2 linked regions of the Arabidopsis thaliana genome follow. The protein of the gene in region 1 interacts with the protein of each later gene in a pairwise test. Each region holds a gene or a part of one and is shown in the gene's direction. Other genes may lie near its edges.

What was found.
Region 2: the proteins of AT5G39250 (region 1) and TK1a interact in a two-hybrid assay, tested with the Arabidopsis thaliana proteins (one large-scale study listed by BioGRID).

Annotation. Positions count from the first base shown.
Region 1 is NC_003076.8:15,720,771-15,729,110, forward strand, and holds AT5G39250 (F-box family protein), read left to right. Parts: upstream 1-3,706; 5' UTR 3,707-3,837; intron 3,838-4,076; 5' UTR 4,077-4,089; coding exon 4,090-4,848; 3' UTR 4,849-4,884; exon of another isoform or gene 4,885-5,708; coding exon of another isoform or gene 5,709-6,310; 3' UTR 6,311-6,436; downstream 6,437-8,340. Other genes in the region: EXPA21 (expansin A21), read right to left, coding at 5,709-6,310, 6,460-6,646.
Region 2 is NC_003074.8:2,487,511-2,494,974, reverse strand, and holds TK1a (Thymidine kinase), read left to right. Parts: upstream 1-3,794; 5' UTR 3,795-4,039; coding exon 4,040-4,218; intron 4,219-4,302; coding exon 4,303-4,447; intron 4,448-4,538; coding exon 4,539-4,660; intron 4,661-4,760; coding exon 4,761-5,031; 3' UTR 5,032-5,588; downstream 5,589-7,464. Other genes in the region: AT3G07810 (RNA-binding (RRM/RBD/RNP motifs) family protein), read right to left, coding at 418-1,666, 1,879-2,100; AT3G07790 (DGCR14-like protein), read right to left, coding at 5,958-7,464. UniProt on the Arabidopsis thaliana protein: Part of the salvage pathway for purine and pyrimidine deoxyribonucleotide synthesis. Phosphorylates preferentially purines over pyrimidines.

The DNA of each region.
Region 1 (8,340 bases):
CAGTTGCAGGAACTCACGGAAAAACCTCTCTGCTTCTGCTTTTATTTCGTCCCCTTTTGTTTTCACAATTCCATCATTACTAAGAATCTCACGGATAGTATTATGAGCTTCACGAGCTGCAGCTGCTCTATGAAACGCCTTTGTGTTTTGATCACCCACCTGACACCAGTGAAGTTTCGATTTTTGCTTAAGATACTTTTCTTCCAAAATAGCCACTCGGTCCCATCTAGAATAGGCTGCATTCTCTTCTTCCATAGCCATTGAAGAGGGATTGGTTAGATTGACATGTTGCTTTGCGCAGAGAATTTTATAAGCCTCATTTGCTTTCTTGGACAGATTTCCTAAACGATCTCGAGCCATACTCCTTATTTTCGGCTTCAAACCCTTTAAATTCTTTGAGAAACGAAAAAGGGTTGAAGTAGAGAGAATTAAGGGTTCAGTATCCTTCCAGTAAGTGCTCACCATCGGTTTAAAATCCTCCATATCAGTGAGAGCATTGACAAACTTGAAAGGCTTTAGGCCCTGGACTTTGTTGCCTGCTTCACTATTTAAACTGATTCTACATCTCAAATGATCTGAGCAACCTCCTGCTTCAAAAACACTATAAGATTGAGAAAAAGTTTGGTTCCAACAATCATTAATCAATACCCTGTCGAGTTTCTTCATGATGAGACCATGCTCCCTCTTGTTACACCATGTGAATAGTGGCCCCTGAGCTGCCATATCTGTTAAAGAGCAATAATTGATCACCTGTTGGAAATCTCGCATTCCTGGAGTTACCATAGGGTGAACAAAAGATTGTGAGTGTTCTGCTATATCAAGCGTCTCATTAAAATCACCTAACAGAGTCCACGGTTTGTGTCTGATGATGGGAGAATCATAATGATCCTTCAGTTCTGACCATAAAACTTTTCGCTCCTCCACGTAGTTTGAAGCATAGACAAAGGAACAGAAAAATTCATCCTGTCGATCTTCTAGCTTCACCGAACAAGTCAGCAATTGACAACTCTTATAAATAGGACTAAGTCGCACATTCTTACGCCATAGAACCCAAATACGACCCCGTCTATTGTGCTCATAGTTAGTGAGAATCGACCAATCCTTGAAAAGCTTACCAACAAGCTGCGAAACCTTACTCTCCTTTACTCTCGTTTCAACCAAGCAACCAAACTGAAAGTTATTTTCCTCTATCCACTTCTTAATAACAGAATGTTTTGATGATTTGTTAAGACCTCGCACATTCCAGAAGAACCCAGACATTAACGATTTTTGGATTTGTTTCTTTTACTCTGATCTTTAGGAGGAATCCTAGTTGATTGAGTAGAAGGAACTGATATCACTTTGTGAGCTGTTTTAGATACACGGGGCAAAGACTCGCGCAACAACATCTCTGATGTGGCCGGCTGTGTCCCTATTGAAACTTCTTTTGATGAGATTACACCAACATCTCTCGTATCTGTCGTTGAAATAACATCGTCATAGTCTCCTTTCTCACTTAAAACAGAGTAAGCATTCGATAGGATTGAAACTTCTCCAAATCTCAGCTCTTTGTTTTTATTTCCTGGACTGCGGTGTGAACCTGGAAATTTTTCTATGTTCAAACAAACATGTTTCCTAAAACATCAAATAAAAAGAACAGAGGATATTAAATTAACAAAACTTATCTACTTTAAGGTCAAACTGATTGGTTTTGTTATATATGTTTCCATGTATTTGAAAAAAATCCAAAAAATCCAAATTAATTAATTAGAATGTTTAAGGCACATTTTCATTTTTTTGTAGTCGACCACATAGATGTTATGAATGAGGTACATACATGAGTTTGTTTAGTAATGATAGATTGTCTTATAATTAGAACTATCATTATCCTATCCATAAATATCTATATTATTAGTAAAACCTGATAACATCAACTAATAAACCAAATTACATTTCAGTAATTAACAAAGTCAATAAGAAAAGACCACAACCTATTCGATTTCAGTATACATTCGATTTTTTTTTTTTCAAGTATCTTCTAGCTTTAGATATCAGAATAATCGACCATGAATCCAAGCAAACAAAGTTTTAACTTGAAGCTTTAACATAGATTAAATTGAGGGGCATGCGACTATTTCAAAGAGAAATTCAGTGTAGTCTATTATATTTAATATTGTTTTCTACATTCTTACGTTCTTTAATTTTGTATTACTTTTTTGCACATTTTTTTGGGCTGATGAGCCACAATAGTTTTTAAGTAAATAAAAAACAACACTTTAAACAAATTATTGCATCTTGTATTACTTAAAAATAATAAATATTTCTTTTATCTTTTTTATTTTTCCAACCAACATACTCTTACTCAAAAAAAAAAAAAAAAAAAAATCACACATAATTACGTAAATTATTGTGTGAACAAATTCTAGTTTTAATAAATGACATTTAAACTAACAATCACCATAATTCTTAGTGAATAAAAAATCTCATTTTTGGACTGCAGATATTTTTGTTTAATTAGTATCGAGTATTCAAATACCAAATTGTTTTTATAACCGGAACAAGGAACCATCATACAGTAGGAATCAAACTCAAATACACAAAATCAGAAGAGTGCAATCTTTTTCCCCTAAAAGTTGAGCTAACTACTGGTACTACACTACACCCTACACCCTACCACTATAGACCAGTCATTAATGATCAGATTTTCAAATTACAATTTAATAAAACATAAACCCCATATAGTTTAATTACATGTAAGTGTTGCCTATCTATAAAAATCATTTTCTTTTCTATATATTAAGAAGTATCGTATGTAAGTGTTGCCTATCTATAAAAATCATTTTCTTTTCTATATATTAAGAAGTATCGTATGAAGAAAAGACTCAAAATTCACGTCAAATCATCCACTTTTTTTTCCCTGAAAATATCTACTTTCCATGTGATGTAGTTTTCTTGTTCCTTTCGCTTTATTCCCTATGTTTTCTTATAAAAAGAAAAAACACAAAGAGAAGGAAAAAAGAAGTATAGAGTTTTTTTGTGTGTGGGGAAATAAGGTATCCTGATACTAAAACACAAGTCAGTGAAGAGTGTGACTACTGATCCCACAATCTGACCTCTTTGCTCTTGTCTCCCATGCTCGTCACTTATTTGTCCTCTTTCACGTTTATCATTTCGTTTTATTCAACTCAATATATATGTCCTCACAAATTGTCATACTCCAAACAAAAAAATACGGCATAATCAATAACATATTTGAGTTAAGTGATAACGTCATTCTTAAATTAAAAGTGTGTAATATTAAAATAAGTTTTGTGGAAGATTAGGGTTAATTTTGCGAACAATTCTTGGGTTCATCCCTAAAGATGTTTTGAAATATTTCATTAACATCAAAAAAATTTCTTTTCTTATTTACCTCAAGAAACTAAGATTCGAATATAATTTTTGTTTCTTTTTGATAATGGCTTCTTATAAGAAAATTCATCCACTTTTTATGAAGCAAATCTATATATTTTAGCAAAGTCAACTAGCATTAAGCTTCTTAAATTGATGAGAGAAGGCTCATAGTCTAATGGGCTTTGGGCCGGGCCGTTGAGGTCTCCATTTTGTTTTTTAGTGTCTAAATTATTTTCGTGTTACTCGACTAAATATTTAATTGGGCTTCTATATGGGCTAAGGCCTTTTTACATTACCAATTTAATTTCTTATTTCATTTATCAGATTAAATCTTTTTAGTTTTCATAATGTTTCTTTTTTTACAGCCTACCAAAATCCTAATCGATCAAATGAAACTTTCTTCAATTTCCTCGTAAAATCATACTTAATCCGATCCAGATTTCAACTCCAGATCATGTTTCAAAGGTTAGTTCATTTCCCATATCGTCGATCTACATAATCTTCATCGTTCTGATTAGTTTTGACGACGATGATCGTTTCCTCTTTCGATCTTTCGAATTTTCCCTGTAGAATTATCTTAATCGTCTCGAATTCAATAGAATTTGATCGATTTCAGTTTTGATTTGTTATTTTTCGATGTTCCGGTTATCGTAATTGATCGGTTATTGAAATTGAAGCATTTGTGATCTCAATTTTGATTTCAGTAGTTGTTGAAGAATGTTTAGTGAAGAAGTATTGAAGAATGTGTTTCCATTGCTAGAAGGCGAAGATCTCGCGTCATGTATGGGTGTTTGCAAACAATGGAGAGATATCGCAAGAGACGATTTCTACTGGAAATGTCAATGTGCAAAGAAATGGCCATCGGTTTGCAAACGGCACAAACCTCCTACTGAAACATACTACAAAATGTATCAAACGTTTAGTAAGCGGCGGTTAAACCGCGCGCTTCCTCCTCCGCGATTGTCGTTCGAAAACTTGGAGTTTTTCATCGATATTTGGTCGGAAGAGAGGCTCGTGTTCTCGGGGTTAATACCCGGTGTTGCGTTGGAAAATGGTATCGAAACGTTACCGTTAGGGATCAGTAATGTTCTTAGAACTCATCTTGGTAGACCTGATTACAAGATGGTTGTTCCTGCTGAGCCTAGGTTCACTATTCCGTTAAACCAGTCTGTTAGTGTCTCTGTTCTTGTGGCGAGGAATGATTCTGATAAGGTCGCTCGGATAATCAACCGGTCTGTGTTCGATTATATAGACCGGTCATCGTATAGAGCGCTTGCGTTTGAGTATCTTGACTTGTCTCCTTGTTATCCTTTTATCTCCGGTATACGAGCTTGGATCTCTTTGCTGTTTATGGATGTTGAGGATATGAATGATGATGGGTTACTCGATGTTTTCGGGATTCAGTTGGATTTCAATGATGTTGCTGACACTAAAGAAGAGGTTTTGTGGCTTCTAGATATGCTTGATTGGAAGTGAAAACAAGCTTATGATCCTATTAAAGCTCTTTCTCAGGTTTGGAACTCTATACATAATCATCATTTTGCTCAAGAACTAATCTTTCACAACTTTTGGTCATTTTCTTTAATACGAGTTTGATTTGTTTTTTCTCTCTTTAACTATATAGCTTTTGTTTGATCATTTGCTGTAATTCGATTTTTTTTTTGTTTATAACGAAAATTGGATATAAGAAACTGAATAATTTCAACCAAACTAGATATTGAAACGCCATGTCAAAAGAACTCAAAACAGAACACACATTTTTGCACTTCTTTTCAATGTTTTGGTTAGGGGTGGACATTCCGGTTTAGGGGTTTGGATTCAGATCGAATTTTGTTTTTCTTTTCTCAATTTTTTTCGGTTTTGTAAAAAGTGATAACACATGTAAAACCATTTGTACTTCGGTATGGTTTCAGATCGGTTTGATGCAATTTCGGTTGGCACGGTTCAACTTTTGATAATAAAAATTTATAGAAAATAATCAAACAGTTATTTATTTATTATTTATTATTTAGTATGGTCATATCTATTTTCAGAAGATATATAATTTATAAGTAATATTTAAGGAAATTTAGAATATTTGGTTAACATAATAACCAAACAGTTTATAAACAAATATCGGTTCAATTTTGTTCAACTGTTTTGGGTTGGTTCGGTTCATGTAGTTTCATGGTCCATCTCTAGTTCTGGTTAAATCTTTAGATTGAAACCAAATGCAGGAAGCCAAGAACTAAAAGTATCATAAACAATATTTCATTTATTTTTAATTATTGCAACCAATACATCTCTCTTAGTTGTAACTTGTAAGCCAAAACTAAAAAAAATTCATATCATTTTTCTTAAAAGTTAGTCTTTCCATCAAAAGTCTGCCCAAATCCCCAACTTGCTGGCATCACATCAGTAAAATCCTTTGTAATCCCATCACTCGTTGTAACCCTTAATGATACACTTTGACCGGTTAGATTAACATTAGTAGTCCAATTTTGTCCCCAATATCTGCTCATTACTACCCACGCGGTTTTGCTTCCCTTAGCAGACACGGCTATAATATCTCCTGCTCCTCCTACATTGTACGGCAAGATCGTTAAGATATTAGGGTTTCCTTTAACTTCAAACTTGACACCACCGGTTTTCGCACAGGGAACACGTCTGTATCTAACCGGGACCATCTTGGCTTTGACCTGAGCGATCTTGATGAACATTGGTAAGGAGAGATCAAAGTGTTTATTTGGTAGGTAGCACCAAGCGGATCCTGGTGGACATAAATCTGTTGCTGTGATCTTGATAGATCCGGACAAACATCCTTGTGGATTAGGAGAGCACATGATCTCGTAACAAGCCCCACATGAGGCCCCGCTGTTGAAGAGCGCCGTGCTCAATGCTGCTGTGGCTAGACCATATCCATGTTTGTTTAGATCACCGTATCCACAAGCTCCTTCTACTGAATGTATAATAATAAAAAGTTAGTATGTAACTATTATGGATTTAATTGTTTATTTATATTTAAAACAATCGCAGCTTATATACATTTTGAAACAAAACATCAATGTAATAATTAGATTCGACAACATATTAGTAATTTTAACTTACGTTCAGTGCCTCCACCATGGATATCACCATAATATGCGGCTCGCGCATCATACCAAGCAGTATCAAGTCCGTTGGTTCCAGGTGCTGCAGCTACATTGGCTCCATGACTGTAACTTATGAACATGAACCATGTCGCCATTATTATCATAAAACATTCTACATATGTCATTTTTTCTAGCAATTTCATGATTATTATCCCTCTTTGATGATTTTGTTTTACTTTTAGCTTTGATTGATGGGAATAAATGAACAACATGAGTGGGTATATATAAGTAGACATATATTTGACTATAGTCATATCTTTTAAAATCTTTCCAAATGTATTGAAATTTTTTGTAGTCAATCTGAATTGATAACATAGCCATCTTTGTATTTTGGATAAAATGGTAAGATGTTTATAGGTAGTTAAAAGTCATGAAATGTGAAGTGATAGTCCCATTTCTTTTTACTGGTTATTTGTAATATTTTTTTAAATCATTCCAAATGTGCATATATTTACTTAGTGAACATGATAAATTAGTAATTGTATTGAATTTTATGTAGTCAAAATCTGCAATCCTAAGAAGTGATGATATTGCCATCACCTGTATATATTTTGAATTCATGGTATGATGATAATAAGTTGTAAAACAAGGTATGAAATGTAGAATGAGTAAAGAAGTCTCATGTTCCTTTAATCCTTTTGACTTCTAATTTAATGACATATCCAATTATAAATGTTAGCAATGTTCTTTTCTTTTCTTGTAGGCCATTTCATTTCTTTAAAAGTCCAATGGACTAAGTACAAAAGAAAGGAACTCTATTAGAAATCCATTACACATTACAAGTATAAACTCGAATTAAGATTAGGGAAATTTGCAACTATAATCTAAATAAATTTAATAATTTGGAAACTAACACCTCAAAAACTACGTACAAGGCAATACACATAACACACGCTCTTCCTCTTCCAATTCTTAATTTTGTTTTTCTGCAACTCCAACTCTTATTATAACTATCCCATATATTTTTACACCATCACATCTACCATCAACTCACCATCATCATTTATCACTGCCACAACTGTATCGCCGCAACCACTACCGTCAACTTCACCGTTAGTGCCATCACTACCATTGTCATCATCACCACCATCATTACCGTCACCACCACCACCACCTTTACCGTCAACATCACTACTATGATTTACCTTGCTTGCTTGGGTTGCCAATGTTATATCGCATAGGGTATAGTTTTTTTTGGGATCGGATCGGTTTAACTCGATCCTTTGTTAGTCTAATGTTCGTTCTATACTATTTAGTTTTATTTTATATTTGTGTTTTAGCCAAATATTATTCACTATTTTAAATAATTTGTATGAGATTTCAAAATTTTAAATCATGTTATACATAGAAAAAAATCTAAAAATGTTTTATTTTAAACAATTAGGTTCACAAAACAAATCTGTAAATTGATTCCATGGCAAAAAAATAAAAAGATGGAAACATAGAAGTAAAAAACTTCACTCCATCAACTACACATAATAAAGCATATCTCATTTATTTTTAGTTATTGAACCCAATACATCTGTTAATTCATTTTAATTGTATTCCTTCTTATCCTAAAAAGTAAAAAAACTCAAATAGTTCTCCTAAAAGTTGATCTTTCCATCAAAAGTCAGCCGGTTCCCCTTGGAGGCGACCAATTTTCCTATGCCTCCAAACCACAAACAACATACGATTTTTAAAAGAGGTTACATGTAGAAGTGAAAGATAATAGTATAAATATAGATTGTGGATACATCCTAATTTTTTATGGATAAATAGTATCTTCTTTATTTTTAATTATTGCAAGTACGTATTACATAACTTATGTGTAAGACACATATAATAAAACTCAAAT
Region 2 (7,464 bases), on another chromosome or scaffold:
TGCAATTGAGTTTCTTCATCACAAGTTTCTTAGACTTCCCATAGACACTGGTGTGAGCAACATAAAAGATTCAACTAGTTTTCTAGTTCCATGAGCTTATATCTAAAGCACGGAAAGAAACTTTCCTCTAAATAATCTCTGATGAACTAAAAAACAATAAAGATGCAGAATGGCTACTGTTTCTGCATGCAAGTATATTCGTGTTTCTGAGGAAAAGCCAATTCACTAGTGATACGAAGGTGTTCTAGATCACCATTAGTGCAAGACCCTAAACCATGGTTTGTATATTCCAGAAAGAAGACGAGGATAATCAAAAATTTGGAAACTATCTAGGCTTTCTAAATTCTTTTTCTCAAGAGTCCTTTGCTTTTCATAGAATCACATGTTAAAGCAGAAAATTACTCTGAACTCAATTACCTCTGTTTGGTTGTCTCTTGTTCACACTGTAACTGCCAACATAACCTGGAGATGAACTTCTAGCTGAAACATCTGAAGAAGGAACCCCTCCTCCAATCCCATAGCTAAAAGGAGCAGGCCCTTCTGTCTCAGGAGTTGGTGATCTCCATGTAGGGTCACTATAAACTGCACCATTCCCGTAAAACTCTGCAAGTCCTGCTGTATCATAACCCGTGTTGTTGGTTGCTGAGGCAGAAGAGAATGAAGAGGATGGTGCTGCCTTGTTAGCCCCTGGGTTTCTTGCTGCATAACCACCTGTTCCCAACCCAAAACCAGATTCACCGTTTCCTCCATAACCAAACTTCACATTCTCGTTACTCACAGCATTGTTTCCTCCTCCAGGAGCACCCCAATTGACTCCTGAATTTCCAAATGGACCACTAAGTGTGTTGTTCCCACTTGATGATCCTCCCATATATGTATTGGAGTTTGAGTTTGTATTATTGTTGTTATAGTTAAGACCACCATTGTTTCCCCATAAGTTCCGTGTAACCGAACTGAAGAAGGATGAGTTTCCTCCTCCGTTGCCCCCTTCATAGCCAACCGCAGGACCAAACCTGTTTGTGTTACCAATGTAGTACGGGCTCATTCCTCGGCCATAGTCAACATTTCCATTGTAATTTGTACCTCCCGTGAACCCTGTGGGCAATCCCTGATCAAAGTTCACATTCATCCCGTATCCAGAACTGTAATTTGCAAACCCGCTTCTTCCAGCACCAACCGGACTGAACCGACCATCCATCCTAAGTCCGTAGCCTCCAACTGCAGCGGGATTAAACCCTTGAGCATACCCATTAAGGAGGTTATTGACCCTATTAACTCCATAGCTGTAACCTGCACCAAGAGGACTGCGACTTGGACCTGGAGATAACTCCTTTGGAACAGCTCGCTTAACCTCAACCATTTTACCATTTAGTTCATGGAATGTCTTGAGCAATACCTTTTCAACCGCCTCCTCGGAATCGTAGGTTATAAACCCGAAACCTCTAGGCCTTTGTGTGTTGTGATCATACATGACAACCACATCCGTAGTTGTACCAAACTGCTCAAAATACGTCTTGAAATCACTCTCTGTAACCGAAGAAGGTAATCCTCCAACAAATATCTTCCTTGTGCGACCTGGACCACCGGGAGAACCTTGGATGCTACTGCTGTTGCTTCTATTTACCATGTTTTGGTCATCTCTGGGAACAGCTTTCTTGGCTTCAACCTGCGGAAGATCAAACAACTTGAAAAATGAAAAACTAAGCTCATATAACTAAAGATCACTCATTTCTTCTCAAAAATCCAATCAAAGCACAAAAATGATTAATCGGAACCAAATGAGAACAAACTGTAACTCTTGAAGGCTTGATTGCATAAGGAAGCTTCGAAAACAAGTTACATTGTACAAAAACGAAAGGCAGAGAACAGTGAACATACCAATCTGCCATCAATATTATGTTTTTCGGTGATAACAATCTCAGCAACAGCAGGATCAGCAAAAACAACAAAACCGAAACCACGAGCACGACCAGTGGTACGATCTTTCAAGATGACAGCTTCGATCACTTCTCCAAAACTGCTGAAATACTCCTTGAGACGTTCCTCATTGGTGTCCCAAGATATCCCACCGATGAAAAGCTTTCCATTATCCGATTGCATTTTGCTCTGCACACACACACAAAGGAATCGGATCAAAGTTAATTAGCTTTTGCTTGAATCAGAGATGTCAATGGATTATCAAAATCTGATCAAAAGGAAACATCTTTACAAAGACAAAAACGTAAAATCAAATTCAGATTGAATCTAGAAAACAACAGATCCGAGAATCTGCCAGGAGAGTTTGATCGGGAAAACATAAAACGGATTTAGCAAAAAAAAAAACCAATCAGGGGAAATCTGAGATCAGAAGAAGAAGAATAAAAAAAAACCCACCAAGAAGAATAAAACCCAGATGCCGAATCTCGTAGAGAAAAGAGTTAAGATCTGAGGATAGGCACGATTTGAATAGATGGCATAATTTTAACCTGCCCCTTCCCCAGAAGAAGAAGAAGAAGAAAATGAAAGAAGATTGGAATCAATCAGAGAGAAAAGTAGAGGAAGAATTATTATTAATACAGTTTTTGTTCAATCCGATTCAAACCGATTTAACCCAATTTCAATGGCGTCAATAAAAACATACTCACGACGCGCAGTAACGCGCTCTAGAGATATAGAAAAAGAGAGAAAGAAAGAAGTTTTGGTAGAGAGATAGAAAGACAAAGGCTTTTTGGGTGTGCAAGAAGAAGAAGATATGTCTGTATTTATATATTTATACTCATTATTACATAATTGGTTTGTTTCTTTTTTTTCTCTTTTTCAATACTAAACTTTTTATACGTTTTCCCTTCCATTTATTACACGGAAATTTTACTTTTGTCATAACAAAAAAATATTAATATATTGGAATGTTTAGATGTTTCTTTTTGCGGAATTTTTAGTTTGTATCTTAAAGAAGAATTATATAGAAAGTAATTACTAATTAGGATGGTGCCACTAAAAGTTTTTTAAAAAGAAGTAATTAAAAATAAATTTGCAATTAAGGATGTCTTATTCACAGAATTTTTAAAGCAAAACTGAGAGTTGTTGTTGTTTGGATAATTTAGGCTTGTTGTGTACGTTTGGTTTAGTTTTAACCTACTGGTGTACATTTTATCTATGTTTGAATTTTGATCAAATTGATTTAACTTGTAATAACCTGGCGATGAAAATGTATTCTAGTTCGGTTTTAGGAATACAACGAGCTACGATTGTACATTAATTGAGGTGATCGGAAAAAACATTTCAACAATTTGTAGCTTTAGACATGAAGGTGTGCAACTACATACGAAAAATTAAATAAAAATTGCAACTACGAAAAAGCAATGAACGTGTATGTATTGGAACACTTGAAGAAGGTTGTGAACATGTTCATCTCAGGGCCAAAAAAAGCCTCAGGGTTTTGGGTTTAAGCCCACATTCAAAAGCACACACACAAAATGATGGGTTTGTAGGATAAAAACCCAAGTGAGAAAGTTGTTTTCTCGAATATTACGAATTTACGACTTTCTAATTTAAACAATAATTCTAAAAAACATTAGTGGAATATATGACCAAAAACCAGTACCATTTTATGTGGATATATTTTTTAAAAATATTTATCATTCTCTTAAATAATGTGTTTGCAAAGCCTAAACACACATGTTTAAAAATTTCATATGATCTATACATTAAGGAAATTAATTAAAAAAAATAAGCCAATAGAAAATCAGTTTTTTTTTTTTTAAATTCCGTTTATAGTGTTCCGCTTTATGAAAAGAGAGAGGTAAAATAAAAAGATTCGCTCTAAAAAACTGTTTCCCTCCAAAGATGTAATTTTTTTGAAAAAACCTCCCATTCAAAATTTCAAACCCTTATCTTTGACAAATCTTCTCCAGCAATTTTCTTCCTTGTTCAACTTCTGGATGTCCGCGTATATATATCTTCAACAAGCTATTCACCATCGCTACCTAAAACCACAAGCAAATTGAACCCTTCTCCCTTTTTTCATCTACAAACCATCTTTTCTTCTCAAGTCTCTGCCATGGCGACTCTCAAAGCTTCCTTTTTGATCAAAACCCTCGACAGTGACGTCACCGGAGATTTTCTCTCCGATCTGGAACGTCGTGGGTCAGGTGCTGTTCATGTTATCATGGGTCCTATGTTTTCTGGGAAATCGACCTCTCTCCTTCGCCGAATCAAGTCAGAGATCAGCGACGGAAGGTACAGTTTATTTTCTATCTCCGTAGATTTTAATTGTTAGATCTATCTCCGTAAATTTCTTAATTTCGTGTTTTGGTTAAGCAGAAGTGTTGCGATGCTGAAATCGAGTAAGGATACGAGATACGCAAAAGATTCGGTGGTGACACATGATGGAATTGGATTCCCTTGCTGGGCTCTTCCAGATCTCATGTCATTTCCTGAGAAATTCGGACTAGATGCTTATAACAAGGTAATAAATTCGATGCTCTATTTGGTGTTTCGGGTCTTAATTGTGAAGGATCTGTATTGAATTTGTGTTTTTCTCTTAAAATGATTGGCAGCTTGATGTGATTGGTATTGATGAGGCTCAGTTCTTTGGAGATCTTTATGAGTTTTGCTGCAAAGTCGCTGATGATGATGGTAAAATTGTGATCGTTGCTGGCCTAGATGGTGACTATTTAAGGTGCTTCATCCTAGTACCAAAGCTGTGATTTTGATATTTTACTTCAATGTTTAACAATTTTGTTGACTGTAAAATGTGGAATTGATCTCTCTATGTGCAGGAGGAGTTTTGGGGCTGTACTTGACATTATACCAATAGCTGATTCTGTGACTAAGCTAACTGCAAGGTGTGAGGTCTGTGGACATAAAGCTTTCTTCACTTTAAGAAAGAATTGTGACACCAGAACTGAGCTTATTGGTGGAGCTGATGTCTATATGCCTGTTTGTCGCAAGCATTACATCACTAATCATATTGTTATTAAAGCCTCTAAGAAAGTCTTGGAAGATTCTGACAAGGCTAGAGCTGAATCCTGTGTTGCTGCTACAATCTAACTATAAATGATATGGAACAAGCAACATATGTTATGGTGAAGTTTTCTTTCTTTTTTGGTTGTTTGGTTTCTTTACTGGTCTGGTTTATCCTTAATGTTGTCTTTGAAATACACTTGTGATGTTCATTGTATATAAATATAAGTTTGATGCTTTCTCTACAGCCTCTGGTCCATGTTTCATACTCTTCATTTTCCAAGACCACTTAGTTTTTCGAGTTGGACTTACAATGTTGCGTATGAGAGGTTGTTTTGTGACAGAAGCATTTCTTTCATCAGATCCTGGATTTGATACTTGTGGATTCGCATTCTTCCATTGTTGCATTGCTCTGGTTTAAGAAGCACTGTTTTCTTGATCCACCTTCATCACTGAAAGGTATCTCTAGGGAGCAAACTATTGATGCTAGAGGTGTCTCCACTGTTGTGAATCTCGAATCACTCTTTGGACCGAGACCATAGATCTTGACATCTACGTCTACTTCATGCTGCTGTGAATATTGAAACTCTTGTTGCAGTCGGTTCTGTCTCCAGATCTTAATGTAAGGATACATAAACATTAATGATTAATTAACATCCAAGCAATTCCAAACTCTGAGGGAAACCTGAGATTGAAGAGAGAACAATCTCGAGGATGACACCTCTTAAAAAGCATGAATCACACAAAAGGAACTAAAATATAGAGAATCTACAGATAAAGCTTAAACACCAAATTTTACACTTGAGGATATTGTGCTGATGTTGTAATATTGAAGTGCGTAGCCTGGGAGCTAAGAGAAAAGAGAAGATGTGGAAGTCAAAATTACAAATGCGAAGATAGATAGCATTCCATTTAAAATCTGTCATATCAGTAATTGGTACAAGAAGAAGTAACTTTGTTGCCTATGTGAGCACCAAAGCATTCAACAACAGATAACCATAACATTGGCACCATCAAGGCGACCTTGTCTCTGAGCTGGTCCCATCTTTGCCAAATCTTGAAATACTTCTCACACTCTTAGGAGTCACAGCACCAGGACTTGCTCCACGAGGACTTGCTCCACGATAACTTGCACGAAGGCTCTCATCAACAGTAGAAGATGATTTAGCTATTGCCTTTCTGAAAAACTTCTGAGCAGCGGGTGAAAGAGTCCTAACATTCGGACTTGCACTTCCACTTCGATGAGGAGATGGCAACGGAGGTTTCTTAAACATACTATTCGATCTCTCTCTAAGTTTTCGCGATGCATCCCTTGATAATGAATGTGCCCTTACATCTCTAGGAGGTGCAGATGGAATGTTATAGTGCGGTCCATCAGCACTACCACCAATATCAATAGGTGTATCCTCAAGATCTAATCGCATTGGTGTCCCATCAATCTCACCCCATGTTATAAAGGGTGATTCATCAAGACCTGGAGCAGGAGAAGGCGTTCTAACAAAACTATACCCATTGTCTGCCCTCTTATCTGATTCCACATAGAAAGGATTCGGTGTTTTCCTTAGATCATCAAGATCATACCTTTTAGACTTGTCTCTGTCCCTACCTGAGATATGCATCGGGGAAGAACCTGCGATTGGAGTGTAGAGAATCTCAACAGAACCATCTTCTCTTGGCCTAGAATCCATAGTCTTACCATGAAAACGAGTGTTCCCTTTAACTATCTCCTTAGTCAATCCAAGTAATCTCACTGCCCTTTCCGCCTCAGTTAAAGGCGCCTCACCCCGATCAGCTGGATGGTACATCAGAAGATTCTTCGCCGTATATTTCCATCCTTCTAAAGTACTCGGTGGCTGATCAGATGTACCATACCCATCTGTAATCCTATCTCTCTTCACATCCTCAATAGATTTACCATCCTCCTTTTCACCTTCAAGGAGAAAGCCATACTTCTCCTTCTTCTTCCTATTTACCTTCTCAAGAATCTTCGAAAAGCTCTCGTTATCCTCACTAGTATATCTCCTAAAGAACTCATCTAGGGACAAATTAAGATCTATATCTTCATCTCCATCACCAGCATCTACTTCAACACCATGAAATTCTCTACCAGATACTCCAGGAGTTCTAGGGGTTTTACCATCAAATTCATCTAAAGGAGTGAAATTTCTCAGAAAAGTAGATCCAGGAGTTTGAGTTTTACCCTCGGTATCTCCAACATGATGATTCGCCTTCTTTCCACGCCTCTCGATAATCTTCAACTGGGCATCTCGGATTTGAATCGGGTCACGGGTTTTCACCGCTTGGATCCAATCGAGCCGATCCCTAAGCTTAGTTATATCTGGAAAGTAATCACGCTCGATGATCTTCTCGATTGCTTCAACATAAGCGTCCTCATCGAGAACTCTCATCCGTTTTCTAGGGTTTCGAGGAATGATCTCCGAGGAAGAACTGCGAGGCGTTGATCGGAGGGTATCATCGGAATAAGAAGACGGCGATGGAGAAGAAATCTGACGAGGAGAA